Linked DNA regions of Diceros bicornis minor. The protein of the gene in region 4 interacts with the protein of the main gene of each other region in a biochemical or structural test. Links are inferred from orthologs where the notes say so. Each region holds a gene or a part of one and is shown on either strand. Other genes may lie near its edges. The genes, in order: ADRB2, PDGFRB, TBC1D10A and NHERF1.

Region 1 (7,567 bases), on a different chromosome or scaffold from region 4:
GACTTGTTGTAGGATTTTTCTAGGAATTGATGTGAAGTCTAGACATCAGCAAACCCAGGTATGAATAGAAGATACCTGCCACGATGCTAAAGGAGACTCTAGACCTAAGGGAATGAGGAATATTTAACCTGAAGAAGAGAAGGCTCAGGAGAACTTGAAGGGATTCTCCCAAAAGCTTAAGGACAGTCTTGGGGAAGAGGAGCTTTGCTTTGAGTGGCCTCAAGGGGGCAGACTTAAGATGCTTGGGTAGACACTTTAAGAACATGGATTTCAGTTCAATATCTGGATAGTTGGAGAAATATACACTGAAAAATGGAGCTGGCGAGCTTGCCTTCACTAAACATGGCTGTATAAGAGTTTTGGTGGCTGCATTGTGTAAGGAGCTGACTAGACTGTGAGATGTTTCATTCAGAACCACTAATATCCCATGCAGGAACATAACTCAATGATAATGGTAATATTCAGAATCATTCTTCTTTCTAAAGAACCAAGTTTTATTCCTTTTTTTCCTGTCAATTCAAATTAAAAATAAATTACTCATCATCCATGTTCAAAGTGTCCTTTCATACATGTGATCTAAGATAAATATGCATTCTACATATACATTTTGATTCAAAAATAAGATAACAAAAGTAATAGCTAACTTTAGGGGCCGGCCCGGTGGCGCAAGTGGTTAAGTGCGCGCGCTCCGCTGCGGCGGCCCGGGGTTCGCTGGTTCGGATCCCGGGCGCGCACCGACGCACTGCTTGGTAAGCCATGCTGTGGCGGCGTCCCATATAAAGTGGAGGAAGATAGGCACCGATGTTAGCCCAGGGCCGTCTTCCTCAGCAAAAAAAGAGGAGGATTGGCGGATGTTAGCTCAGGGCTGATCTCCTCACAAATAAAAAAAAAAAAAAAAAAAAAAAAGTAATAGCTAACTTTTCTCCAAGATAGCCTGTTAAGCACTTTACGTGCAATTAATCTTATTTAATGTTAATTTAACGAGATGATGCTGTACAGAGATAATATTAAAGACAGACATTTAAGACCATCATTTAGAAAGAAATCTACGGATGTTTCTCTGCTCAGAGGGTCATAAAGATGAAAGGAATCTTGTCTAAGCCAAGACCAGGATAAGATTTTCCTAAGCCACACAGCTACTGGTGCGAAGGCATCTCGTGGCACCACAGAGCCCTTAGTCCTATTCAAACATTGGTTCAGTAAATCAAAATGTGTTTTTTTTCCTGCTTGGCAGGCAGGAAACAACGAATCAGTGTCTTAACAGATTGACAAAATACGTAATTAGACACTATCAATCACCATAAAAGAGCCTGCTTTTTCTTACATCAGATAAAGGTGCATTTAGTCTACTAAGGACTTTCCAGTTTCATGAAGCATGAACTCCCTAAGGCCACAAATACAGTAAGCAGTGCTAGTCAAAGTCCTCTGCTAGGGAAAGAAACGAAAGAGTGGGCAGTGAAAACACGTGAGCCCAGGAGCAGACTTGGCTCCTAATTTTCCCTGCCCTCCTTGGACTGGATACTCGCTTCTACCCTTTAGTTTCCTCATTTGCAAACCGGAGGGAGAGGAATAAACTGAACGATCTACTATACTCTTTCCCGTTCTAGTTCTCTCTAATCCTATAGTTCTAAAAGGAGGTCAGGAGAAGACTCCTGGCGTGAAGACAGCATCTTGAAATTCCTACCAGCTTCATGATGCAGCAGAGATAGAGAGAGCTTGTCCATTTGGCAAGGCTGGTGAGCAGAGGCCTAGAACTTCCTCATTGACATAAGCAGTCTTCCCTTCTTGATTTAGTGTTTGTGTGTTTCTTAAAAGGTGTTTCCCCAAATATTAAAAGTTAAACTTTTGGGGCCGGCCAGGTGGCTCAAGCGGTTAGGTGTGTGCGCTCCGCTGCGGCCCGCGGTTTGCCGGTTCGGATCCCGGGCGCACACCGAGGCACCGCTTGTAGAGCCACGCTGTGGTGACGTCCCATATAAAGTAGAGGAAGATGGGTACGGATATTAGCTCAGGGCAAATCTTCCTCAGCAAAAAGAGGAGATTGGCATCAGATGTTAGCTCAGTGCTGATCTTCCTCACAAAAAAAAAAAAAAAGTTAAACTTTTAAGTGACTTACGTGCATACCTAAATGATCAATTAGTGTTTGTCCTAAAAGCATTTTCGTTCTTTTTCTTGTTATGGGAAGGTTAAACAATATGCTTGTTTATCCCATAGCTTCACAAACAGGAAGGAGGTTTTAAATGGCTCAGTTCCACGATTTGGGGTAGATGTATATTTAAAGAAACGTGTTGCATAACAGACACTCCTTCCTCCTAAAATGCATCATACCAGAGCCAATTTTGGAAAACACAAATATGGGGTAGTTATATTTTGAAAACTATGTGAACATAATAGAACCTTAATTAATATTTGTGGCTTTCTATGGGAAATATTTGTTTTGTAAGGCATCTGCCTTGCGAAAACAGTTTCTGCTAGTGAAGGAAGTTAAAAGGTGCATGTACGGTTAAATTTTGTTTCTGAGTTTTACTTCTAGAGTAACTGCCCAAGTTACTTCTGTCCTTTATTGTCCTGGTAGAGAAGACTAACAGCATATTCTAAACTACTAAGTAATTTACATAAAGTTCATTTATAACCCATATTTATGTCTCATTTATATGTGCCAAAGCACTTCTACATTTATTATTATATCATTTGATTCTCACTCAGCCTAATGGAAATGACTTTATTCCCCCTTTAGAGATGAATGAAATTAGGCCCCATCTTTGTCATTTGCCTAAGGAAAGTGAGCTAGAAAGTTCCGAGACAGGGGGATCTGCATCCTGGGTACTCCAATTCCAGTTGGAGTTCTTCCCAGTCCTCCATTCCTTTTTGTATATGATGATGCGGTACACTGAACAAATGAAAAGATGGGTTTTAGAGTCAGGTAGATCTGGGTTCACCTCCTGCCTCTGACCCTGTGCCCCTAGGCAAGATTTTTCCTCTTTGAGCTCCATTTGTGAATTAGGCTAAAAATAGTATCCCCTCTACCATGGGACAGTGGGAAGGATTAAATGGAACAATGCAGGAAGAGCACACAGCAGAATGTTCCATAAATGTTAACCATTGTTATGTTATTATGCAATCTACAAAGTATGTTTGGTTACACCACACGAATTACTTTCAGTTTTTCAAAGACACTACTAATACATGTGAAATCAAACCCTGAAAATTAATTTCTTTTTAACAGTGAAGTCATATGCCAGATGCCAAGGATAGTATTTCACCGGCAAAGATCCTAGTTTTAAGGCTTGGTCTGACTTTTGTTTTTTAAGGAGAAATTATCTTTTGCTTTCTGTGGTTTCCAAACAGTCGTAATGGCAACACATTCTTCATAGTCTGAGCCATATGAAAGTGACATTTTTTAAGTCAGAAACTGCCGATATGGCTCAACCAACAGATCAACAAACTACCCAGCAGATGAAAGGATTTTCCTACTTACAATGGGATTGCTGAAGTTGAGGTTGAAAGGAAAATTCTTCCATTTTCAATACATTTTCATTCCAACAGATAATGAGGGAATGATGCCACACTCACAAGAATTAAAAATTAAAGCATACAACTTTCTTTCTCTCGTCCAAAACACATACATGCACACCCAGCTCCAAATGAAATCCAAAGTGTGAAATTGTATGTCTCAATGCTTGCAAATTCCCAAGGAGGGCACCAAAAGTGCTTGATAGAGAGTGTGCTGAGGAAATCGGCAGCTGTTGAAGTCACCTCCTGTGGTCTTGCCAAATGTTTGAAAGGGTATATGCTGTGTGTCCGTATGTGTGGTGGAAGGGGGTGGGGAGGAGGTCGGGGGTGCAGGGGTGAGGGGTTTGGAGTACCTGGATGGGGACGTCCGTGTCGGTGGCGCTGTGCATGCCTCCAGAAGGAGCGTTTGTGTGTTGTTTACTTCTTTTTGTGTGTGAGCCCATGCCTTTGTGCTTCTGGGTGCCCCTGTGCTTGTTTCTGGCCGCGTATCTGTGTTGACAGGGGTGACTGTCGGTTTCTGTGCGCCCGCGCTCGTGTGCTCGTCGGTGCGCTGGACGGGTGTGTCTCAGCGTCGGTGGCTGTGGCTCCGTATAAGTCTGAGCATGTCTGTCGGGGTGCGTGTGTGCCTGTCCGTGCATGTCTCAGTGGGCACTCTGGTCTCTGTTTCCGAATGCGGGGGAGTGCCCGCGTGCTGCCCTCTGCTCTCAGACCTCGGGCCGCACAGGCCCCCACTGCAGACAGGTAGCAGCCACAGAAGAGCCAAAAGCTCTCGGGTTGGCTCGTAAGCGGGCCAGTTCGAGCTTCAGCCCTCCGGGACCAGCCAGGGTAGCCGGGAGGGAGTGGTGGCCCGCCCGTCCGCTGGGGAGCAGCCGAGCCCCGCCCGGGCCAGCGCCAGGAGTGGGTGGGAGAGGGAGGGGAGGGAAGGGGCGGAGGCCTCGCCCCTTTGGGGCTGCCGGCGCGCCATTGGCGGAAAGTTCCCGCACGTCACGGGGAGGGCAGCTCCCCTAAAGCCCTGTGCACATAACGGGCAGCGCACACTCCTAGGCGGCTTCTCCAGAGCGCAGGCTGAGACTGACAGGCACCGCGAGCCCAGAGCACCCCACAAGCTGAGTGCAGGACGCGCCGCAACCACACCCACCCCACGGCCGCTGAATGAGGCTTCTGGGCGTCAGCTCGCTGCCGGCAGCGCCCCGCCGGAGGTCCGCCCGCTGAGGCGCGGCCGGTGCGCTGGCAGCCAGTGCGCTCACCTGCCAGCCTGCGCGCCATGGGGCAACTCGGGAACGGCAGCGTCTTCTTGTTGACGCCCAACGGAAGCCACGCGCCGGACCAAGATGTCACGCAGGAACGGGACGAGGCGTGGCTGGTGGGCATGGCCATCGTCATGTCCCTTATCGTCCTGGCCATCGTGTTTGGAAACGTGCTGGTTATCACAGCCATCGCCAAGTTCGAGCGTCTGCAGACGGTCACCAACTACTTCATCATTTCCCTGGCCTGTGCTGACCTGGTCATGGGCCTGGCGGTGGTGCCTTTTGGGGCCAGCCATATCCTCATGAAAATGTGGACTTTTGGCAACTTCTGGTGCGAGTTTTGGACTTCCATTGATGTCTTGTGCGTCACGGCCAGCATTGAGACCCTGTGCGTGATCGCAGTGGATCGCTACGTTGCCATCACCTCACCCTTCAAGTACCAGAGCCTGCTGACCAAGAATAAGGCCCGAGTGGTCGTTTTGATGGTGTGGATTGTGTCAGGCCTTACCTCCTTCTTACCCATCCAGATGCACTGGTACCGGGCCACCCACAAGGAAGCCATCAACTGCTATGCCAAGGAGACTTGCTGTGACTTCTTCACGAACCAAGCCTATGCCATTGCCTCCTCCATCGTGTCCTTCTACTTGCCCCTGGTGGTCATGGTCTTTGTCTACTCCAGGGTCTTCCAGGTGGCCAAAAGACAGCTCCAGAAGATCGACAAATCTGAGGGCCGCTTCCATGCCCAAAACCTCAGCCAAGTGGAACAGGATGGGCGGAGCGGGCATGGACTTCGAAGGACCTCCAAGTTCTGCTTAAAGGAACACAAAGCACTCAAAACTTTAGGCATCATCATGGGCACTTTCACCCTGTGCTGGCTGCCCTTCTTCATCGTGAACATCGTGCATGTGATCCAGGATAACCTCATCCCTAAGGAAATTTACATCCTCCTAAACTGGGTGGGCTATGTCAACTCCGCCTTCAATCCCCTGATCTACTGCCGGAGCCCGGATTTCAGGATTGCCTTCCAGGAGCTTCTGTGCCTGCGCAGGTCTTCTGTGAAGGCCTATGGGAATGGCTACTCCAGCAACAGTGACGGCAGAAGTGACTATGCAGGGGAACAGAGTGGAGATCAGCTGGGTCAGGAGAGAGACAGCGAACTGCTGTTTGAGGACAACCCAGGCACAGAAGACTTTGTGAACCGTCAAGGTACTGTGGCTAACGATAGCGTTGATTCACAAGGGATGAATTGTAGTACCAATGACTCAGTGCTGTAATGCGGTTTTTCTACCTTTTAAGACCCCCCCTAACAAAACACTAAGCAGACTATTTAACTTGAGTGTAATAAATTTAGAATAAAGTTGTATAGAGATGTGCAGGAGGAAGGACATCCTTCTGCCTTTTTTTTTATTTTTTTAAGCTGTAAAAAAGAGAAAACATATTTGAGTGAGTATTTGTTTCTTGTACAGTTCAGTTCCTCTTTGCATGGAACTTGTAAGTTTATGTCTGAAGGGCTTCAGTCCCAGAGAACCTGGGGCTGCTATGTTGTGATGACTTTTCTGCATATCTACCTCATTGGTCAAGTATTAGGCGTAATATATTGCTGCTGGTAATTTGTATCTGAAGGAGTCTTTCCTTCCTGCACCCTTGGACTGGAGGATCTTGAGTATCTCGGACCTTTCAGCTGTGAACAAGGACTCTCCCCGCTCCTCTGATTTGCTCAAACAGGGTGTCATAGGCAGGGATTTGAGGGGCAGCTTCACTTGTTTTCCGGAGCAAAGTCTAAAGTTTACGGTAAATAAATTGTTTGACCATGACTTCATTGCACCTGTTTCTCCAAAACCCCTTGACTGGAGTGTGGTTCCTCCCCCACTGGAAACCGCAGGTAACTATTTGTAATAACTGCCCAGTGACTTAATATGGAATAACACAGGAATGACAAGCACTGATTGCTTAACCCTTTCATTTGCCTTTGAATCTGCAAACCTGTATCTCTCCTAACGCTAGGGCCCCAAATCAGTTCTGCCTGCCCCCAGCATAGCTTGTCTCACTTGTCCTACGGTTATTATTCTGTGTTGTCACATCAGAAACACTGACTCATAGAAATGGAGTTATGGACATCTGTTTTGTCCCTCCATGAACCCCACCACCCACCTTCCAGCTCTACTTGTTGGATAGCTGCTTATATTTATGTCTTTGCCATGTCTTAGAGTGGAGATCTTTGTACTACCTCAGGCTTTGGCATTTTAAGGATAAGGAAGAAGTTATTGTGAAAAAGCTACTCAAACAGAGCCCTGTAATTCCAAGGGAGAGTGAAAGGGCATTGGTCATACAGCGAAAGCTGGAAAATACTTAACTGAGGAATATCTCATGACCTAGAAACAGCATTATAAGCCCTCCTCCTTCTTTCCTTCTGTCCATTTCTTCCCTCTCCTTTTGACACTCCTCACTTCAGTATAAACCAATTTCTCAACCTTGGCACTATTAACATTTGGACCAGGTGATTCTCTGTGATGGGGGCTGTTTTGTGCATTGTCTGATGTTCAGCAGCATCCCTGGCCTCTACCCATTAGATGCCAGTAGCACCCTCTGAGTTGTGCCGACCAAAAATGTCTCCAGACATTACATTACCAAACACCTCTTGAGGGGTGAAATTGCCCCTGGTTGAGAACCACAGATATAAAGTTCAAAAATCTAAACAGATTTTTAGATCCTGTCTCATGTGACCATTTTATTTTGCAGAGCCTAAGAGAGGGATTTTTCAGGGTTCCTCTGGTTAGTGACAGATCCTGGGCCAATGCTCTCCCCGCTCC
Region 2 (7,464 bases), on a different chromosome or scaffold from region 4:
ATTTGTGGTTTCCTTGGTGTTTGCTTGTGAGCTGTATGAGGCCAGGGCACATAGTAGGTGCTTAGTTAACTTCTGTGTGGTGGCTACATGGTGGGAGGAGCAGGACAGCCTGGGAGTCAAAGTTAAAGGCCCCTTTCCAGACCTACTGTGTGCCCTCAAGCAGGTTCTGGCCTTCTCTGGGACCCACTGTGTCCAGTGAGGAGAAGATACGTGGCCTCTGGGGGCCCTGCTGTTCTGATGACCCTTGAGCCATCTGTGTGTACCAGAAGGACACACCCTTGTTCCCTGGGGCACTGAGACTGAGGCCAGCTGGAGGCTGGGGAGGGGCTGAGGCGGGCAGGGTCTTGAAGCCCTTATCTCCTGCGACCTTGTCAGGCCTTGGTGGCCTCGGTCTGGCCCAGTAAAAGCAGTCCTGCAATCTAGAGTGAGAATGTGGCCCGAAGCCCCCACTGGTCCCTCTGCCCAACCAGACAGCCACCATGCTGAATGTCCAGGAGGGGAAGGGGCAGTTCCCACTGCAGGCCCCTTCTGGCTCCCCAGATGCAGGCACAAGGTCCTACCTGCTCAGGGTGCGCAGAGTGGAAGGACACTGAGCTGGGGGTCAGGAGTCCTGCATTCCAGGCCCTTTCTCTCTCTGCTAACCTCTGACAGGTCTTCTCTGCTCTCTGAGCCTCAGTTTCTGTGCCTGTACAATGGACTCACTCCTAGGACTCATCTGGCCCTGACATCCAAGATGACTGTGCCGATGCCTGGGACGTGTGTGTTGCTTCGTCGCCCCAGGCCGGGCGGGGGGGAGGCGAGGCAGCGCTGGGAGCGTGGGAGAGCCAGATGTGGTAGCCGCTGGCCCTGCCTGAATGAGTGCTGAGCCAGCCTACTGGGAATTCTCCTACTCAGGCGCCCTTTCCGGACCCCCTCCCCCGCCCCACTGAGAGCTGTGGCTTCCGGCTCAGCTAGGCTCTGATGAGCTGAGCGTGGGTGGGGGTCTGTGGAGGGGGGCAGTTCAGCCTGGTTCCCTCCTCCAGGGAAGAACACGGGCCTAAGAGTCTGGACAAAGCCTCCGTTCCAGTCCTGGTCTTACATGTCACAAAGCCTGGTACAGTCACATTCCATCACAGGGCCTCAGTCATCTCAGCTGTAAAATGAGCTGTCGGAGGATCTTCCCTCCAGTCCTGATGGTGAACTTCTGTGACAGCAGCGCCCGGTGACACCTAAGAATCAGTCACCTTTCTTGGAGCTGTCTCGCTCTGCTCTAGTCCTTGTACAAAACACCTCCTGTGCATCACTTATTTGGGCCTCTCCAAACAACTCTGTGAAGGAGGCGGCTGTATCCCCATTTTACAGCTGAAAACACCGAGGCTCTTTGAGCTCGGATAATGTAATCTGTCCAGGGTCACACAGCTGGGAAGTGGCAGAGCTGGGTTGGAAGTGCTGACATCAAAGCTCAGACTCTTAATCCTTGAGCAGGCCACCACGCAGTGGGGAGGGGAAGTGCTGAACCCCACTGCCCAGAGCTGCTCTCTCCCTCTGCACCCCACCCCACTCTACCTCAGGCAGGACTCCCCATGCTCCACGCTCTGCCTGTCCAATCTCAGCCTAGCCTCCCCCAAGACAGGTGTGTCCGAGGCTGGCCTGGGCTCCCAGCATCTGGCCAGGTGGGAGACTGCTCACGGCTCATCCTGTCCACAGTGGGCTGGGGGCCATGCTGACCATGCCAGCCTGACGGGGCTGCACTGTCCACATGCACTGCCCACTGCCCACCCCTTCAGAGTGCACAGGGGAAACTGAGGTCCAGAGAAGGGAGAGCTCAGCCCAGGGGCACACAGTGACGGGTTGCAGCTGGTATGAGAGAAAATCACTATTTCAATAATAACACTTCCAGACACTGTACTAAGCCCTTTAAGTGCATTACAAATCACAACAGTCTTTCGAGTCATTCCTCAAATTATCTCCATTTTCCAGAAGAGGAAACTGAGGCTCAGGAGTTCAAGTGACTTGCCCAAGATCATGCAGCTTGAAACTGCAGAAGCTAGCATTTGAACCCAGCTCTGTCTCTGGCTCTGGAACCTGCCCTGTCAATCGTGACACTTCCGCCTCAACTGTCCAGCCCTCGGGGAGTGCCCTGTGGTGTCTCACGTGGCTCTGTGTCCCCCAACCCCATCTCAGCTGAGAAGAGCCTTAACAGCCCTGCTGCCTGCCAAGGGTTAATGGTGGTAGGGGCTAAGTGATTCCAGATGGGCCAGCCGGACGGCTGGGCTGGCCGGAAACTGGCGGCCGCCGGCTTCCCGGGGGAGCCACCGGCAGCCGCCCCCTCCCCTCTGTGCTGCATCTCTGGCCCCCAGCTGTCCCCTTGCCCTGGGGCCCACCAGCCTCCTCTCCCTAGCCAGAGTCCAACTCTAAGGAACTTGTAGACAGAGCATCCCGAGCGCCTTCCAGCTCAGTGAGTCCACCCCTGTTATGTACAGATGGGGAAACTGAGGCTCAGAGAGGACAAGATACCTATCCAAGACCAACCAACAAGTCCACAGCTGGGGTTCCTGACTCCCGGCCTAGCTTTCTTGGGGCTGCGGGTTGAGATGCCGCCTTGCTTCCCCTGAGTTGTCCTGGTCCCTGCAGTTGGGCCAAGGCTTTGGAGGTAAACGGCTGAGGCAAATGCTAGAAGGGGAGTTGTACAGACTGATGGAGTCTCTGGGCACAAGAAATCCCTGTGCAGGCCTGACCCTGTGGTCTCTGGAGTCCCCCTGTATTCCCCTCTGACCCAGCTGCCACCAAGCTGGGCCAGGCCCCCTCTCTTGGGAGGCTCTCACGGCCCCCACCCCATGGCCTGGAGCCAGTCTGAGAACCCTTCTCCCTCTGTGTGGCCCAGGCCAGATGCTCTGCTGGGCAGTCCCCACTGGGACAAGACCAAGAAATGACCACCAGATAGGTTCCTGTGGGTGGCATGAAATCCCAGCTCAAGCAAAGCCCCCGCCCCATGAACAGGAGCCCAGGGTGAGGCCTGGGAGAAGGGATAGACAGAGGTGCAGAGGGCAGGACAGAAGGAGCCCTGGACAGAGTCACGCTCTACCTGTGTGACCCGGGACACCTTTCTCCCCCTCTCTGGGACTCAATTTCCCCATGTGTGCAGTAGTGGGGGCAGGAGGTGACTGCCTAAGCCCTTTTAGTCAACTTCCTAAGCCCTTTTATAATGATGGCCTTCGCATCTAAGGGCCAGGAGATTGTGACTAGAGACAGCTTCTGATCTGAGGAAACGAGGGTAGAAGAAGCCAGGTCACGAGAGGCCCCGCCGACGTCCTGGAAGAGCCTTGCAGCCCCTAGTGGGGAGGAGGCCCGGAGGCTGGAAGTGGAACATAACAGGTACTCGAAAATATCTGTTGAGTGACTGAATGAGAAACGGGGACAGGGATAACCTAGGTAGAAGGTAGGACAGGAGTGCCAGTCTACACTGCAGTGTGGGTCAGGTCCCCGTGTCTGTTCCATCATGTAACTCGTGGGACCTGATTCTGCTCGAGTTCTGCCATTGCTGTGCGAGCTCATTTCACTCTGCTGGGCTTCACATTCCTCATCGATATATAAATGGGGAAGTAACCACAGCCCTACTCCAGGGCTTTGAGATGACAGAAAGGAATATGTCTGGAATCTGAAGTGTGCTGGGTGACCTTGGGCAAGTCTCTTTCCCTCTCTGCACCAAGTCACCCCTTGGCCTTGGTTTCTTCTTCTGAGAAGTGACCGATCATCTTGGAAGGTCTTTCCGTCTCTTCCAAGTCACCTCTTCTCAGGTGCCCTTTCTGATTCCCTCCAGCCTCAGTTAGGTGCCCCTCCAGATGCGCTCTGAGCCCCCCTGCCCTCCCTTGGGGTACCCAACTGTCCATTGTCTGTCTCTTTCACTAGCCTGGGCACCCCTGAGGTCAGGGACTGTGTCTTACTTACTACTGTGTCCCCATCACTCAGCGCAGTGTCTGGCACATCGTAGGCGATCGACATGCTTGTTCAATGAATGAGTGTTGACTGAATCAGCCGTATAGCTTATCAGAGCTCCCTTTGTAGATGGGGAAACTGAGGCACACAGAAAGGACTCGCCCCCAGGTGCCATGGCAAGGGGAGGCTGCCACCCGAGACAGGCATCAGGCGAGTGGGGCCGGGCCACTCTTTAATAAAAGTGACTCAGCGGCTGGCGTGGGCCGCGGAATTTCTAAACATCCCCTCACATCCTGAAGGAGCAGCGATGGGAGGGAGCAAGCAGAGGGAAAAGAGGAAGAAAAACAAGAAACTTGGGGAAAAGAAAGAGGGGGGAAAAAACTGAAATTGAAAACAGACGCACGCGTCCAACCTCCCCGCCCCACCGCCCCCCTTCTCCCAGCTGAGCCAATCAGAGGCCATCCTTCAGCCTTTCCCCCAAGGTGGGGGGGCAGGGAAGCCCACAGTGGTGTGAGCTCCTGGGGCTGCCAGCGGCCGCAGTCCCTGCCCGCCCCGTCTGGGACCCAGGATTGCTCTGTGAGCAACTTGGAGCCAGGGAGGAGGAGGAGGAGGACCAGGAGAGGGCCAGGCCCCTCTGACCAGCGCCCGGCAGCAGCCTTCGCCCTGCGACACAGACAGCCAGACCCAGGGCGGCCCCTCCTGGCAGCCCTGCTCCTCCCGAAGGATGCTTTGGGAGTGAGGCCACTCCTTACCCCTGTAGCCCCCCACTCCCTCCATTTTCCTGAGGCTCCGGGAGCCTGCAGCGGCCTTCCCTGCCCTCCTACCCAGCTGCGGCCCCCTTTCGGGTCCAGCAAAGTCTTTCTGATAAAGGGAGAGGGCCGTGAGGAGGACTTCCTGGAGGGGGTGACAGCCCAGAGCCCAGGACAGTGCCCATACCAGAAGGCATCAGCAGCAAGGTAAGTGCTGGGAGAGTGGGGAACCCCAACCCCTTGTCCTGTCCCCTGGCCCCAGCCTGCGCCTTCTTGAATAGGTCAAAAAATGGAAAATACTTTTAACAAAACCAGATGGGAGGAGGCCGGGAGGCTGCGGGCGACATCAGGGCTAGAGGAGCCAGTTCTTTCCTCTCTCTTGCTCAGGCTGCTTCTGGGGTGGGTGGCCCCGGCCTCCTCAACCTTGCTGCCCCCTGCCCTCACCAAACAAACCCCAGAGGTTTCCGGGTGTCGACTGGGGGCCTCCAAAGCACAGCACTGCCTGCGGGAGGTGGGGAGAGCTGGGAGGGGTATGAGAAGGGAATTGGGAGATGGCAAGCAGCGTACACAGAACGGGGACCTACCAAGGGACAGGACCTCAGAGGCATAGCCCCTGTCCATGGGCCCAAGTCTTGTCCCTAAGAATCTGTCTGGCTCTGGGCCAGTCGGCCGCCAGGCAACCTCTGGGGATTTAAAAGATTTGCAAATTTTCCAGATTCCTAAGATGTCCTTCAAACCCCCAGCGGCTGGGAAAGTGTGAAGGAGAGGGGGCCCTGGTGGTGGCAGGCCCATCCTAGCAGTTATGGTCATGCAGCCGGGGCTGGGGGTCTGGGGCCCGGCCATCAATCTGATGGCCCCTCTGTGGAGCAGCGGGGTCGGCTGCTGGCCCTTTCCTCTGGTCCCAGGCAGTGCTCAGGCCCCCTCTCTCTCTCCCTCCTGCCAGACACTGCCCCTTCTCCATCCTAAAACACGAATCTGATCACGATTCCTTCCGTGATTCTCCCCTGTAGAAAGCCCAAAGCCCTAACAGCGGCTGCCACTGATTGAGACTCACTGCCTGCCAGGGCTGCGCGGAGTGCTTTGTAAGCATGATCTCATGTAACGCTGGCCAGCAACTCCAGGGGCAGAGACTGATTTTACACACAAGGAAACTGAAGCTCACAGCGGCCACAAAACTGTAGCTAGTAAGTGGCAGAGCTCGGGGAGATAGTAAGCTCCGTGCCCCATCACTCCAAACTTGGGCCCTGTGTTCCTGCCAGTCAGATCCCAGGATTCCCAGAAGGAATTTGCAAGATCCTGCCTGTGGGCCTGCCCTTCCTCATCACTTCCACTTTTTCTTCAAGGACCCTCCCTTCTCCACCTCCTCCAGGCAGCTTCTCAGATGCTTCCAGTCTTCCAAGTGCTTGCTGTGCCCTTCGCACTGGAGCCTTGTTGCCTGGCCCTCTCTTCCTGTTTGTGTTCTGTTTTGCACATCGGAGATCATTCAGGACCCAGGCTTCCCCACCTGTATTCTGTCCCCAGTGTCCCTGGCAGGCAGTGGGGCTGAGAAAATGTGCTGTTGAAAGGGAGGAGGGACTCACTGAAGACCTCCTCTTCCCAGATGAGACCAGAGCCCAGGCCCCCTGTCTTCCCTCAGGTGCCCTTCCAGAACATCATGCAGCTCCTCCAGACTGCATTTTTCTCTGTCAGACAAGGAGGGGTGTCCCTGCCTGCCTCTGTGATTCCAAAGTGCACAGAGGCCTCTGCGAGCTCTTCTAAAGCCACAAGCAGGAGGGCCCTGAGTCCACAGCACTCGGGGACATGAGGACCATGCTGGTCACCGTCGTTGAGTGCTTACCCCATGCCAGGCTCAGGCCCTGTAATCCCCACAGCAGGTCTTTGGAATGGGTATTACTACCCCTGTTTGGCAGACAAGGAACCCGGGGCTGAGAGAGGCTAAGAGAATTTCCTAGGGTCACACAGTTAGTAGAGTTGGTGTTTAGGCCACGATCTGCCTGAATCCAAACACTTAACTCTCTCGCTACCCAGGGAGCTCCTGGTGAGAGGGGAGAGAGTCTCCATCCTCCCATGGAGCCTGCTCCTGGCTCCAGCACCTTCCATGGCGGAAAGTTCAGCTCCAGGCCTGACCTGCTCCCAGGTCCACCTGGGCCCTGGTTTGGTCCTGAGTGGGGAAGGAGACCATCTGGTCAGCACCCTCCCTTCAGCAGTGATCAGGCAGCGCTCCCTCCTCTGTGGGAAGAAGAGCTGCGACTTGTAATTGCCCACAGATGTGGGGCAGCGGAAAGCACCGTGGATTCAGAGTCAGGAGACCCGGCGCTCGCCCTGGCTCAGCTCAAATCCATGTGTGGCCAACCTCAGGCCCCCGTGTCCTCTTTTTGGGCTGCGTCTACATCTGGAAGGCAGTGGGCACCATGGGTAAACAACACCAGGTTTGGGCATCGGATGACCATGGATTTACCCCATTTGGCTTCTGGCTGACTGTGTGACTCTGGAGTTCAGTCCCCTCCTCTGTGAGCAGCAGGGCGGTATGTAGGCTCCAGGAGGTAACAGTATAGGTAAGGTACACAGTTCCTGCGCTTCACGGGGCTGGACCTAATGCCATTGGCTATGAGAGGGCTGCTGCTCTCCCCGCCTCCTGCACAGGACAACTTGGCTGTGAAATTAGTCTGCAACCCGCAGAGGGCTATCCCCATGGAAGGGACCTGGACAGCATGGGTATTCTAAAGGCCCACTTCCGTCCTCCAGGCACTGTCCGGCTCGGAGACCAGCTGCCTTCTGGGCAGAAGGAGGAGTCTCTGGG
Region 3 (6,946 bases), on a different chromosome or scaffold from region 4:
TGGACTCCTAGCCCTCAACCACGAGACTGGGTTCAGGACGGTCACCCTGAAACTTCCCATAACTTCCTCTCTTATAGCCTTGAGCAGGGACTTACTTGTGGCTTTTTTGGAACCACAATGTAAACTAAGCAGGGAACATTCAAGCTTTCAGACACCAGAGATTTTAGGTTGACCAACGGAGTCAACAAAGTAAGGCAGGGAGAGATCCCACCTCAGCCCCAGCCCTACAGACACCAGTGATGCAGAGGGCGTCTACAAAGCCCGGGTTTGCAGTTGAAGACAGATGTCTGGCTGCCTGGTTGGGGACTACAGCCAAAGGGAGGTGCTCCCACTGAGGCCTCTCTCTGTCCACAAATACCAGACGTATGCCCTCATTTTTCTCCTCAATTCTCAGACCCTTAGAAGGAAAAGAAAGGAAACTAATAATATTTTCTGTGCCACTACTTGTGCCAGGCACTGTGCTAGGCACCTCTGCATACCTGATCTCATTTAATCCCCATAGTAATCTTGGAAGTAGAGTTACTGTTGTGCTTTACAGTGAGTAAATAGGCTCAGAGATTCAGGATCTTGCCCAAGGTCTCACAGCCAGCAAGTGTGATTTCTTCCTAAATCTGGTCTTTTTCCACTATATCACACTACTCTATTCACCGAGTTCTGGTTAACTGCCTGAGAAGCATGTAGTATGAATTCTCATCTCCTAGAACTCACCAGCAAATCTGAGCTCTTCCTTCCAAGAACCCATAAATGCAACTGGGAACTTTTTTTTTTTTTTTTGGTGAGGAGATCAGCCCTGTGCTAACATCTGCCAATCCTCCTCTTTTTTTGCTGAGGAAGACTGGCCCCGGGCTAACATCCGTGCCCATCCTCCTCCACTTTATATGGGACACCGCCACAGCATAGCTTGCTAAGCAGTGCGTCAGTGTACGCCTGGGATCCGAACCAGCGAACCCCAGGCCACCGCAGCAGAGCACGCACACTTAACGGCTTGTGCCACCAGGCCGGCCCCAACAACTGGGAACTTTTTCCCTCTTCTCAAGACCCGTTCCTTCCCAGGGCCCTGATCCCTGGTGACTGCTCCTCAACTCAAAAATATACCCTAAGTCCTCTTTGGGTTCTCACAAGCTAATACCTGGCGAACTGTGACAAAGCATCAAGTCAGGGTGAGGGATCAGAATATGGGGTACTCTCCAGAGTCCTGGACTGGACTAGGCTTAGCCTGCGCCTGCTGTGAGCAAGTGGGGAGACGCTGGAGGAGACAGATCCAGTGGGTAGGACAGAACTCTTCTTGGGGGGGGCCTACATTTCTCTAAAGGAGAAGGAGGCCTGGAGAATATGAGGCTTTGGGACTGGGGAAAATCCCGGAAGTGACCTTTATGGGGCTGACTTTTGTGTGGGGTGGGGTTTTTACAGATGGTCAAGGCACTTCCATAAGTCATAAGAGAGGCTGGAGGAGCCTTGGGCAGTCACAACAGGTCAGAGAAGGGGAGGAAGGACCCTCTGAAGTAGGGTCATGGCTGAGTCCTGCGGGCCCCCACAAGCTATAGTGTGGGGCTGTCTCTGTTGAAGGGGAGGCACATCATGAGGGAGGCTTGTGAGTTCTGTGCAGAACACTGGTCTCATGTGACAGGACAGCTGGGATGGGAGTGGGGTTTGGAGTCTATCTTTCTTCAGGGGACTGCCAGCCCCTACACACGACCTCTGTGAGGATTGGGCTCAGGGGGTTCTGTGGGGCAGCATGGCTGCCCAGTTTACCCAGCTTGGAGGGGAGGTGCTGCTCTCCCGCCTCACATTTCTCTGCCCGCCAGCTGGGTGCCTGGGGACTCTAGGGGTGGGGGATCTCGGTGAGCTATGAGCAGGGACCCTACTGTCTCCCTGCCTGCCCCCTAGTCTGTATTTCAAGAGGAAGGGCTTGTTTCCACAGCATACATGGAGACAGCCAAGAGTCTGGCCTGTGAGTGAGGCACTGTCACCCCGTGGGTACTCGGAAGGGGGAGTGTCTGCCCACCTGTTGCCACTGACAGGGAGAAATCTGCTTCTGAGGGGAGGAGGGGAGCACTCTCCGACCCTTCCTTGAGGGGAAGGGGCTGTCCGTCCCGGGGTGGGGGTGGCTGTCAGTCCATCCAGAGGTCTGTGTGCCTTGAGGTAAGGGCTGTGAGTCCTGGAGTGGGGTGGGGGCAGGGCAGTCTATCTCTTGAAGTCTGCCTAAGGTGTCCCCCCGCGTGGGGGTAGTGAGACAAGGGGTCTGTGGGTCTTGTGGGGAGGTGGCGGATGGAGGATGTCGGTCTGTGGGGGAGGGGCAGCCATCTGTGAGCCTGTGGGGGGGGGGCAAAGTCAATCAGCCTGAAGGCCGCGGTGGCAGCAGGAGGGTTGGGACAGGTGTCTGCCGTTCTGTCCCGTAGTTGGGAGGAGGACACTGGAGGCCCTTCCTGGGGGCAGGTCAGACTGCCTGGGGGTGGGGGGCAAGGGGAAGATACCCCACCCTCCCGTCTGTCCGTCCCTGCCTGTCTGTGCCCAGGTCGGAAGTAGGCTCGCGGGTGAGGGGCGGGTCGGTCTGCCTGGGCGGAGCGGGAGGGGGAGGGGGAGGGGGGAGGGGGGAGGGGGGAGGGGGGGGAGGGGGTGGGTGGGGCCGGGGAGAGAAGGAGTCGGCCGTCCCCGGTTGGGAGGGGGGCTCTGTCCGCGTCGAGGCACCCCCGCGGGTCCCGCGCCCGGCCTAGCCCCCGGCCCGAGCCCCTGCGCCACTCACGCGCCCTCGGCGCCCTGAGAGCCCACGATGAAGCCGAACTTGTCGATGCGGCGCTCTGCGAAGCCGTTGGCCTCTGAGTCGGAGCCGAGAGAGCTGAGCTCGTCGGCGGCTGCGGTGTCGGGGCCCGGGGCCAGGTTCTCCCGGGTCCCCGACAGGCTCCCCCCGGCCGTGGGCGCGCGCGGCCCGTTCTCTCCGCGGCTCTTCGCCATCCCGGCCGCGCCCGCCGCCTCAGCCTCAGCGGCCACCTCAGCCACCTCAGCCTCCTCAGCCGCCCCGCCGCCGCCGACGCCGCCGGCGCCCCGCCCACGCGCCGCGCCCATTGGCCGCCGCCAGGCCGGGGGCGGGGCCCTAGGCCCTCCCCGGGAGCGCTCCCCCCACGCCCAATAGGCGCCGCGGACCCCAGGGCCCGCCCCCCCCCCCCCCCCCCCGCGGCTGGCGCCAACCGGCCCGACGTGAGGGGGCGGGGCACCCGTCACCCAGAACCCTCCTCCGCGGGCTGCCAATGACACGAGCTCACCTGAATGAGCTCTTTGGGCCTTTCCGGGTCGGCCCCAGCCTGGCCTGTCACCTGCCTCGCAGTGCAGGCAGAGGCCGAGGGCCTCAGCTGGGGATTCCGCATCCGCCTCCTAAGGCCTCCCTCCTCGCGAGACCCCAGGGACGTGGGTGGGGATTGTTTCACCCATTCATTTTTGAAGGACTCTGAGGACTGCCCCAGGGACACTCAGCTGCTTAAAGACCCAGGCTGAGCTAGAAGTTCCGCAGCCTCCTCCGCCTGCTCACTACTTCTGGGGCTTTAAATTAGCTTACGGGAACCTAATTAATAAGAATGACCAACAGCTCATGAAGCCACTCACTGCCCCAAGTTCTGCGTACTTTCTCTTGTAATCTTTTTTTCCAACAGCTTTATTGAGATATAATTAACATACCATAAAAATCACCCGTTTAAAGTGTATAATTCAATGGTTTTAAGCATATTTATAGAGTTGTGCAACCATCACCACAATCTAATTTTAGAACATTTTCATGGCCCCAAAAAGAAATTCCTATCCATTAGCAGTCACTCCGCATCCTTCCTCCCCTAGTCCCTGGCAACAACTAATCTGCTTTTTTGTCTCTATAGATTTGCCTTTTCTGGACATTTCATATAAACGGAATCATACAATATGTGGCCTTTCACTTAGCATAATGTTTTCAAGGTTCATCCATGTTGTAGCATGTTATCAGTACTGTACTTCATCCCTCTTTATGGCTGAATAATATTCCACTGTGGATATACCACGTTTTGTTTATCCATTCTTCAGTGATCGTCATTTGGGTTATTTCCACTTTGGGGCCATCATGAATAAAGCTGCTATGAACATTTGGGTACAAGCTTTTGTGTGGACATATATTTCCGTTTCTCTTGGGTAAATACTTAGAAGTGGGAATTGCTGAGTTATATGGTAACTCTGTTTAACTTTCCAGGAACTGGCAAGCTGTTTTCAAAATTGGTCACACTGTCTCCTGTAATCTTTGAGCAACAGGGTAGATACTATTATTAGTCCCATTTTACACTTAAGGAAACTGAGATGCAGGGAAATAAAGTCAGCTGCCTAAGGTCCCAGAACTAGCTTGTGGCAGAGCCATGATTTGAACCTAGCTCTTAGCAACAGCTTATATTGGGAGGCATGGACCAATTGTATTTATACACACTTAGCTCCCAGCAGCCTACTTCTGACCCCAGGGATTGTCAACTTTCGGAGCCATAATGATAGCTCCTCAATTAAGTCCAGTACTTTATAGTTTACAAGTCACAATCATGCTGTCATCTGACACTCCTCTATAGACCTCTGGGGGAGATAGGCCCAGAGCAGGGAAGGGACTGGAAGAGCCAGGCTTGAGCTACAGGGCTTGGGGCAGACCGCTAAGGGGCCCGAGGCAAGCCCCAAGAGGGGAAGTCTTATGCCTTGAGTGATTTCACCAGCCGTTTCCTTGATGCCACGTGGCCCAGACATTCTTGAAGACTTCACTGTGCAGTCTTCACATTCCATAGGCTTCTGGTTTTCCATAAAGAGGCCAATAGCAGACATGGGAGTGGGCACAGGCTATTTTGGTCTTAAACTCTCAGTCTGAGAGGACGCTTCTCCATTCCTCCCCTCCAGTGGCTCCAGACAGAGTGGTGGGCTCTTAGTCCCAGCTCTCAGGAGGGGCAGAGCGGGCCTCGCATGGGAGTGTGGGCCTATCCCACAGAAGGAAGAGAGAGGAGCCAGACACACCTGGAGCAGATGTGAAGCCCCAAGCCTGGCGAAGTATCAATAACCCTTTGACTCTATAATTCTGGTCCTAGGGTCACATCCCAAACACATTCAGCTCTGTAAAGGCACATGAACAGTGATGTTCACCCCAGGACTAGGCGTGAGGAGTAGGTTAGAGGCAGCCAAGTGTCCATCTTTGGGAGACGGGATAGATGTTTCTCAAGTTTAGGCCTTGATGCCCCAGCTTCTAATTTTCTTACATAAGACCACCCAGGATTCAAATCTCTGCTCGTCACTGTATGACCTTGAGCAAATCACTTTTCTGAGTCCATTTCCTCATCTGCAAAATGGAAATACTTAAAAAATGCCTCCTTGGAAGAGTTGTTCTGAAACTTGAATGTGATAATATGTGCTAAGCATTTGGCACATGGAGATACCCAGTAAATGGAAGCCAGGAGTGGTAGTACTTGTAGTTTGCAAAGCACTCGCAAATTCATTATTGTCTTGTATTTCCCTTCACAGCCTGTGGCTGCAGCAGGGGAGTTTACCTAATTTAACCAATGGCACATGGCTTGGGAGACTTTGCTTCATGGCTGTGCCCCTCAATAACTGGATGTTCTGTGCAAAACTGCTTCACCTCTCAGAATCTGTCTCCTGTTCTGAAGAATAGGAATATCAACAATTACTTGGTGAAGAGTCAGTGAGCTATGTTGCTGAAGCCTCCACCACATAGTGGACAATAAATGTTATGTTTCTTCAAACTCCAGAGCTTTGTTTTTGTTTTTTTGGGTGAGGAAGATTAGCCCTGAGCTAACATCTGTTGCCAATCCTCCTCTTTTTGCTGAGGAAGATTGGCCCTGGGCTAACATCTATGTCCATCTTCCTCTACTTTTTTATATGTGGGACGCCTGCCACAGCATGGCTTGATTAGTGGTGTGTAGGTCCACGTCCGGGATATGAACCTGCGAACCCCAGGCCGCCAAAGGGGAGCGCCTGAACTTAACCACTATGCCACCAGGCCAGCCCTGGGGCTCTTTAATAACTTATTTGATATTACTCTAGTGGACAAGATAGATGAAGTCCTGGCCCAATAGTTTATATTCCAGTGGAGGAGGAAGGACATGAACAAGCTCAGAACATTTGTCAGGTAGTGTGAAAATGAAAATGAAGCAGAGTAAGGTAGAGGGAATGCTGTGGGTGGGGGGAATAGATGGAAATGAGGAACCCTCTCTGTGGGGATCCGGGAGAACAGTGACGGCATGGCAAGGCAGGGCATGCAGGTGCAAAGCCCTTGAAAGAGAAGCAGGCTCAGAAGATGGTGTGGTTAGACTGGAGTGAGAAAGCAGGAGGAGGAGTGAATGAATGAATGATCCAAAGGAATGCCCTGCAGAATCACGTGGTTCGCTGGAGTACAAAATAAGAGACCTTTGGCAACACTGTGAAACATCCTGGTAGACTGGCTGCTGTAGATGTTCTTTTGAGGATGAGATGCTAGGCCAGGGTTACAGGAAGGTGTTGATGACCTGTAGTCTCATCCTACTGGGGTCAGTCCTGCAACTTTAGCCCGAGGCACTCACACAGGTCCCCGTGCAGTCCCCTCTCCTGGATCCTGGAAATGTGCAGCTTGCATGTGCTCAGGAAATCTGTCAGTACTGGCCACAAGCAGATGTCCAGATGTCACAGCCTTTATTCGTAATGAGAGCAGAGCTGAGTTTCAGAAGGTAGACAGCTAATGCCCAGCAGCCTACGAAGAACAGGCAAACTATAAATCTTCTTTATCCCTACACTGAGGATAACAGTTAAGAATCTTTTGGTCCAAGTGGCAGAGAACACAACTCAAATAGGCTTAACCCAAAACTGCATTCAGTGGGTCCCATAACTAAAAAAATCCATAGGTAAATAAGCTTCAGGAGCAGTTTGATCCAGAGATTGTCACCAGGGGTATCAGCCTCATTTTCCTTTTTCCTCC
Region 4 (6,969 bases):
ATGGGGTTTGGGGCCACTCAGGACTGGAGAGGCCAGAACAAAGATGCAGATGAGACAATGCACAGGGCATCGTGTTTGGGGTCAGTGAGCAGGATAATCAAATAGAAGAAGGAAGGGCCAGAGGGAAGGGGAGAATGGCTGGTGCTCAGCCTCAGCCTGGCTCAGCCCACCCTCTCCCACAGGCCTGGCTCACTGAGATCCATGAGTATGCCCAGAGGGATGTGGTGATCATGCTGCTAGGCAACAAGGTGAGTGGCTCCACGGCAGGGTCAGCCCACCCCTCTCCTCTCCCACTGCCACAGCATTAGCTCTACCAGCCCCATAGCCACCCAAGAGTGTTAGCTGGACATTCTTCCAGCAAAGGACTCTTTCAGTCTCTAGTTCAGGAGTCAGACCTATTTGGCAGCTTCAGCCCATGTCACCTGCCCTCTTAAAGCTTTGGAAACGGTCCCCTGCAGGGAAAGCTCAAGCTAGTACCTGAGAGACCCACGGTTGCCCAGCTGCTCAGCCCTTATTAGATGGTCGTGATGAGGGTCACGGATGAGGAGCTAAGACTGGAAAGGGTTAGCCCCAACTACTGCCACCCCTTTGAGGCTGGCTCACCACACCCGTACCAAGGAGAGTTACCCACCTCCCCCAGGAGGAGTGAGATCCCAGGGCTGGGAGCTGGTAACTCAGCCTGACCAACCCAGAAACCCTGGCCCCATGCCCATCGTGCCACCTGCAGTCCTGCAGGCCACCAGCAGAGGGCGGGTAGTGCCTGCTCCTGGGGCAAAGAATAGGCCAGGCAGGGGCAGGGCCAGCTGGGGTCAAGGCTTCCTTCCCCAGAGTGACCCACCTGGGCTTGACAGGCGGATGTGAACAATGAACGAGTGATCCGTTCGGAGGACGGAGAGACGCTGGCCAGGGTAAGTGACTGCCTGTGGGCAGGGTGAGGGGTGGGGGCAGCCACAGGCTAGCCCTGAAGACACTCTCTCTCTGGCAGGAGTATGGAGTTCCCTTCATGGAGACCAGTGCCAAGACAGGCATGAATGTGGAGTTAGCCTTTCTGGCCATTGCCAAGTGAGAGCTGAGCAGGGAAGGGAACCGTGCGGGGCAGGGTGGCACCATCTGGGAATCCAGTATGGCCTGGCCCCCCTCCCCCGCCAGCCCCTGGGCCCAACTGCCTTCTGCAGTCTGAGGTCCATTTGCCCCGGGCCATAGGAGTGGGGAGGATGCTCAGCTCCTCAGTCCGTACCCAGCCCGTTGTTTCTTCTTCTTCCAGGGAGCTGAAACACAGAGCCAGGCAGCAGGCCGATGAACCCAGCTTCCAGATCCGAGACTATGTGGAGTCCCAGAAGAAGCGGCCTGGCTGCTGCTCCTTCTTGTGACTCCCAAGGGGCTGAGAGGAGGCTCCAGAGGCCCACGAGGATGCAGCCTTCTCCCCCAGACCTGGCTTACTCTGAGCAGCTAAGCCAGTGGGGAGAGAACTGGGGGACCCAGTGCACAGGCCTTCCTTCCCAAGAGGGAGCTGTACTACCTACTTCCTGGACTTCCCTGCATCTCCAGGGAGGGTAAAATATTTATATTTCATTTTAATGATACACAATTTAATACAAAAAAAGGCACCAGAAAGCCCAGGTAAGGACCTGGTGGCCCTTTTGCCTTCTAGTGCTAGGACTGAGGGGTCGGGGCCTACCTCCTAGCCACAATGAGGGCAGTATTGCTCAGCTCAGCACCAGGGGACACTGATGCACTTCAGTGACCCCCTTCCCACTCTCACTTCAGCTGGAGAGAGGCTTCATGTCCTCCAGCTTCCCAGGGAACAATCTTCCCCACTAAGACAGGGCCCTTGTGCTGGGAGCTAGACCAAAACCTCAGGGAAGATAGGAGATATGGAGATTGGGCAGGGACTCTGCTCCCTGGGAGGGGGAGAGAGGAGTAGCAGAGATTAGGTCTGTTTGGCTACCTCTGGCCCTACTAACGCCCCTCCAGGAGGTGTACCCTTTCCCTCCAGCCCACAAGCACACTGGGGCACCTGGAAACATTTGGTTCCTGTTCCCCAGACCTCAGATCCCAGGGAAGCCCCTCCTCCATGAATCCCTGGTCTTATCTACCTTTCTGGCTGTGCCCCTACACACCTAAGGTCCCAGCTAGGGAAAGGTGGTTCTTCTGTCCCAACCCTTTAGCAGGTATGCAGCCCCCAGGCTACTTCAAGCAGCTGTAGTGCTTCTACTGGGAAAAAACCAGATAAAGAGAAACCACCTGGAGCAGGTGGGAGGCAGAATTGAGTAAACCTTGCCCTACATGTATGCCCCTAAACCCAAGCGCTGCCTCCTCCCTGACACCCACGCCCATTTTTTCCCAGACAGACGCAGACTCAAAACTGCTCTATCTCCCTTTCTACTAAGCCAGGTTAGAGAGTGAGAGGTCATCCAATTCTGGTAAACCAATGCAATGTGTGCAAAATAAGGTCATGTGGGTAAGACTGGGGTAGGGAAGGGGCGGCAAGGAGTTACGGGAGCGAAGGTCACAACTCTCCCAAAGCCCTTACCCCAGCAATCAGAAGGGCCAGGGTACATGAAGGTCATGACCTAAAGCACCTTACTCCAGCTCTCTGGGCCATGGGTGGGGAGAGACACCTTTGCTCCAGCTCTCCAAGTCAGGGGCGGGGGAGAGGGATAGAAAGAGGCATGCACTGCACATTTCTGAGGCTACTGCACTTGCTTCCACGGCAGAAATCTTGCTCTCTGAGCAGAGTCAGCAGCTCCAACTTGGGCCAGATAAGGAAGCTCTCCCGAGCAGAGCAGGGAGGAGCCTGACCTTGCCGGCTCTTCTGGGGCCCAAGGCAGGTCACAGGCGATCCAATCATGTAGGCTGTACTGGGCCTCCAGCATTTGTGTTTTCCAGAATTAAACTGCAGTATTTTGGAAAGTACACACTGTCCCCTGCTTCTTTGAGGTGCCCATGGGGCGGGAGTCATGTTGAAAGGATTGTTATTGCATGCTGGGGGAACTGTCATTGACAGCCAAAATCACTTGATCCTCATCCTTCAATGTCCCCAACTGGTCACCTCATCCTTTACAGACCACCCCTCAGCCTCTGTGACCAGCCTCTCATCTGCAAGAAGGAACTGAAAGGTTTATCTTACGGTCCTAATCATTCTTTCTCTATTGAAAAAAGCCAGGTCTCCTTGCCCTGGAGACTATACCCAGAGATGATTACCTGACTCTGTTCTGCCTCTCTCCACCCCACCTCCCTAGCCGAACGCTGACGCCAATGCCCACGCCATTGCCCTACCTAGGTGGCCTTTTTCGGTGGGCAGCCGCGCAAAGCCTGGGCTCTCTGCTGAGACCCTCGCACTGTCCCAACCAGGATCAGAGCCCGCACTCCTATAAGCAGGTCCTGGGACAGTGCAAAGTGACTCCGCAAATGGGAAAATATCGTTATTCAGACAACTCTGCTGGGTCCGAAGTGGACCTCCGTCTTACTCCTCACACCGCTGGGACCTCGCAGCCCCGGAGCGGGAGCGGTTTCCCCGGCAACAGTCGCCCCCTCCCCCCCTCAATTGGAGCTGCACACAAGGTTTTGGCTAAAGGCTGTTAAAACGTTAGCGTCCTTTACTCGAGGGTTGGCTCTCCTCAATCCCCGCCACAGGTGGGGGAAACCAGAACAGAGCCTGCGGGCCCCTCCGCCCGGTACCGGGAACTCGCCCCGCCCCCCGCCTCAACTCCGGCCACTTGGAAACAAACACTTCCACTTCCTGAGCCCTCTTTCTTCTCCCGCCGCGGGGCACCGCGCCGAGCGCACGGCCCCGCCCCTGCGCGTTCCCATTGGCCGGCGTCCTTCACCCGGCCCGAGCGCCCCCTGTTCTTGGTCTCTGATTGGCCCGCGGTGGCCCACACCCTCAGCGCGGCCCCGCCTCCGGGGTAAGGGACCTGGGCGGGTTCTAGAACGCTCAGACGCCGCGCGGGGCGGGGATTGGTCCGCGCGCTCCTGGCTTGGCTCCTTGCTGCTCGTGGCAGCCTCTCTTGGGACACCTGCTCGCTCGGCCTGTCCGGCGGTGCGGGAATTCTCTGCCGCGCTCTCTCCCGCCCCCTGGTCCGCAGGGCGGGGAGAAGGGCTGGACCGTCCCATCTCCGGACCCCGACCCGACCCCGCGGCGCGCTGCTGAGTCGTCCCACGGCGAGATGAGCGCGGACGCGGCGGCCGGGCCGCCCCTGCCCCGGCTCTGCTGCCTGGAGAAGGGTCCGAACGGCTACGGCTTCCACCTGCACGGGGAGAAGGGCAAGATGGGCCAGTTCATCCGGCTGGTGGAGCCCGGCTCGCCGGCCGAGAAGGCGGGGCTCCTGGCCGGAGACCGGCTGGTGGAGGTAAACGGCGAGAACGTGGAGAAGGAGACCCACCAGCAGGTGGTGAGCCGTATCCGCGCCGCGCTCAATGCCGTGCGCCTGCTGGTGGTCGACCCTGAGACGGACGAACGGCTGCAGCAGCTGGGCGTCCAGGTCCGGGAGGAGCTGCTGCGCGCCCAGGAAGGGCCCGGGCAGGCTGAGCCGCCGGCCGCCGCGGAGGCGCCGCGCGAGGCCGAGAAGAGCCCGCCGGAGCGGGTAAGTGCGGGCCCGGGCCGAGCGGCGAGGCTGGAACGAAGTTGGAGGGGGGATCGGGGAGAGACCCAGGCGCCCGGGACTCCCAACCCTGCTCCCGCCTTGTCTTTCTGAAACCCGATCCTCGAGGGAGGGACTGCTTCCGCCCGCCGACTGGGCGCACTGGCGGTTGCAGGCTTGGGGCTGCGTCCCGCGACCCCCACTCCCCTTCCCAGACAGGGCTGGGACCCTGAGCGCCTTTACCACCTACACCTCTTGACCCTTGGTCTTTGGTAGGGAGGTGAGGGAGCCCGGTCCCCTTTTCTGGGTTCTGTTGGTGGGGTCTGCTCCCGTTCCTCGGAACCACGCAATCTCGCCCTCACCGCCCCAGAGGTGCCAGCTTCCTCCACGGCCCCTGTGGGTGGTAACGGAAGCTGGAGTGAAGCGAGCGCGGCTCCGACTTCAAAGAGCTAGAGGAATAACAACCGCCTTTTCTGTGCGGAGCCCCGGCGCTGGGAGGGGAGGGATCGCAGACAGGGTTCTCCCTTCCCCCCAGCCCGCTGGTGTGTATATCATTAACTTCAGGCCGGCTGGACTTCATCCTCCTCCTGAAGTCGGTCGGGTGACTTCTAGGAAAGAAGAGGAAGCCCCACCGTCTCAGGGCAGCGTGTTGGGGGCTGGGGTGCGGAGAAGAGGTGCAGAGGCCTTGGAGTGGTGGCGGCTCCACCACCCAGGAGGATTTATGATTCTCAGGAATGTGAGGAGTAAGCGCTACCTTGTATCTGGGAGCGGAGGGAGGACCTTGGAGGAAAAGAAATGGCTGGGGAGAGGGAGAGGTGGGAGTGGTCCCGTGGTACTCTACCCTCCAGCGGCCAGCGGGGCTCACCATGGGCAGGTGGTCCTGTCCTGGCATCATCTGTCTCACTCCAGTCCCTGGACGGCAAGCAGGCTGGTTGCTTTTTGCCCATGTTTGGTGTTTGCACAAACGATCCCAGTTTGGATCAGCTGCCCGAGGGGCAGTGGCAAACAGGAGCTGTGCTGAGCCTCCTGTTCCCAGAGAGTGGAGGGGGGAGGCCTCCCCAGGCGGGTTTGGCTTGCACCAGCTCTCCACCTGGTGGCAGCATGTGGCAGGGGTGTCCTTAGTGCCAGCAGGAGCCTCCCTGGACAGAGAAAGGGCACAGTTCAACCTTAAGGTAGAAGGTGGAGCCTGAGAGGACCAATTGGTTTGGTGAAGTGAGGTCACCAGGAGCCTTGTCCAGCCAGAGATGGGTGCCGGCAATGACAGGGCTGCCCGGCTCCCACTTCCTGCCGCTGCCAGGCTGGCATTGGCAAGGATGGGGGAGGGGTCGGAGCACCCCTGGCAGGGGTTTGACACCAGGGAGTTAGAACCTATGACCTCTCGTCCCAGGCAGAAGTCCAGTTTGAGCTTTGTGCTGAGTGCATCAATTTGCCATTCCCTGTTTGTTTTTTTTCATTTGGACTTTGGCACTCGCACAAGTAACGCACCCCCCCTAAGTCGCAGTTATGTTCAACTCCTCCCATTGCCCTTTTGGTTTTGCTGCTGGGTGTGTGGGGAGGGGTGCTAGGGGAGAGGCCAGACTGGAGGTTTGACCTAGCGCACAAGCTCCCGCCACACCATTTGAAAAGGCAGCAGTGCTTCCACCCCTGGAGCACAAAATCAGATCCCCCCAGATGGTGGTGTGACACCTGCATTCGTGTGTACTTTGCTAGGCCAGGAGAAGGGAGCAGAACCGCCTCCAGCCAGTCCCGGGAACACCATCACCAGGCCTCTTGGGTTTATGGTCAACAAGCAAGTCACAGAACTTCTCTGAGCCTTGGTTCTTCCATCTGTAAAATGGGAGCATTGGATTACAGTGGTACCTGCTTTCTCTAGAATTTTACAAGTATGAGAAGTACTCGAGCCCCTGGTGGATGCTGAATTGAGTTCCTTTATGCCCAAGCACTGGAATCCCAGCTCTGTGCAAGGACTCCTTTGGCCTTATACAAAGCCTATCAGCACTGTTAAGACCCTCTAGTAGGATATTCCAGTTAAATCTGGTATGGTGGTCATGCAGGTGACCCACTCCATCACTGCAAAAAAATGTTAATAAACATCCTAAGAGTTATTTTTTTTTTCCTAAAAGACATCTCTTGTATAAAGCATTTGAGTTTTACTAGTTAGTTTTAGCCTGAATTTGTATGCAAAGTAGAGGCTGTTATGGTATCTTCATTAGTTCTCATAAGTGAAAAAGATGTTAAGTGGAAAAGTGCATGCAGAGAATGGGTGGCGGTGACATATCATTGGGAAGAACAGCCCAGTGGAGAATGATAAGGGCAGAGGGTGAGGGTACCTGTAGTACTGGTCTGGGAGGATGTGGAGGGGCACTGCCAGCTCTGCACACATGGG

Evidence for each region.
Region 1: the proteins of NHERF1 (region 4) and ADRB2 form a complex in vitro, tested with the Homo sapiens proteins (3 studies listed by BioGRID and IntAct, with this or other methods). The link is inferred for Diceros bicornis minor from reciprocal best matches to the Homo sapiens genes NHERF1 and ADRB2.
Region 2: the proteins of NHERF1 (region 4) and PDGFRB form a complex in vitro, tested with the Homo sapiens proteins (2 studies listed by BioGRID and IntAct, with this or other methods). The link is inferred for Diceros bicornis minor from reciprocal best matches to the Homo sapiens genes NHERF1 and PDGFRB.
Region 3: the proteins of NHERF1 (region 4) and TBC1D10A form a complex in vitro, tested with the Homo sapiens proteins (2 studies listed by BioGRID and IntAct). The link is inferred for Diceros bicornis minor from reciprocal best matches to the Homo sapiens genes NHERF1 and TBC1D10A.

What each region holds. Positions count from the first base shown.
Region 1 is NC_080740.1:66,047,437-66,055,003, forward strand, and holds the start of ADRB2 (beta-2 adrenergic receptor), read left to right. Parts: upstream 1-4,548; 5' UTR 4,549-4,774; coding exon 4,775-6,031; 3' UTR 6,032-7,567. UniProt on the Homo sapiens protein: Beta-adrenergic receptors mediate the catecholamine-induced activation of adenylate cyclase through the action of G proteins. The beta-2-adrenergic receptor binds epinephrine with an approximately 30-fold greater affinity than it does norepinephrine.
Region 2 is NC_080740.1:67,175,201-67,182,664, reverse strand, and holds the start of PDGFRB (platelet-derived growth factor receptor beta), read left to right. Parts: upstream 1-4,458; 5' UTR 4,459-4,871; intron 4,872-7,464. UniProt on the Homo sapiens protein: Tyrosine-protein kinase that acts as a cell-surface receptor for homodimeric PDGFB and PDGFD and for heterodimers formed by PDGFA and PDGFB, and plays an essential role in the regulation of embryonic development, cell proliferation, survival, differentiation, chemotaxis and migration.
Region 3 is NC_080774.1:23,836,828-23,843,773, forward strand, and holds the start of TBC1D10A (TBC1 domain family member 10A), read right to left. Parts: upstream 3,009-6,946; 5' UTR 2,953-3,008; coding exon 2,744-2,952; intron 1-2,743.
Region 4 is NC_080757.1:55,335,438-55,342,406, forward strand, and holds the start of NHERF1 (Na(+)/H(+) exchange regulatory cofactor NHE-RF1), read left to right. Parts: upstream 1-3,953; 5' UTR 3,954-4,169; coding exon 4,170-4,586; intron 4,587-6,969. Other genes in the region: RAB37 (ras-related protein Rab-37), read left to right, coding at 183-248, 852-908, 986-1,062, 1,265-1,370. UniProt on the Homo sapiens protein: Scaffold protein that connects plasma membrane proteins with members of the ezrin/moesin/radixin family and thereby helps to link them to the actin cytoskeleton and to regulate their surface expression. Necessary for recycling of internalized ADRB2.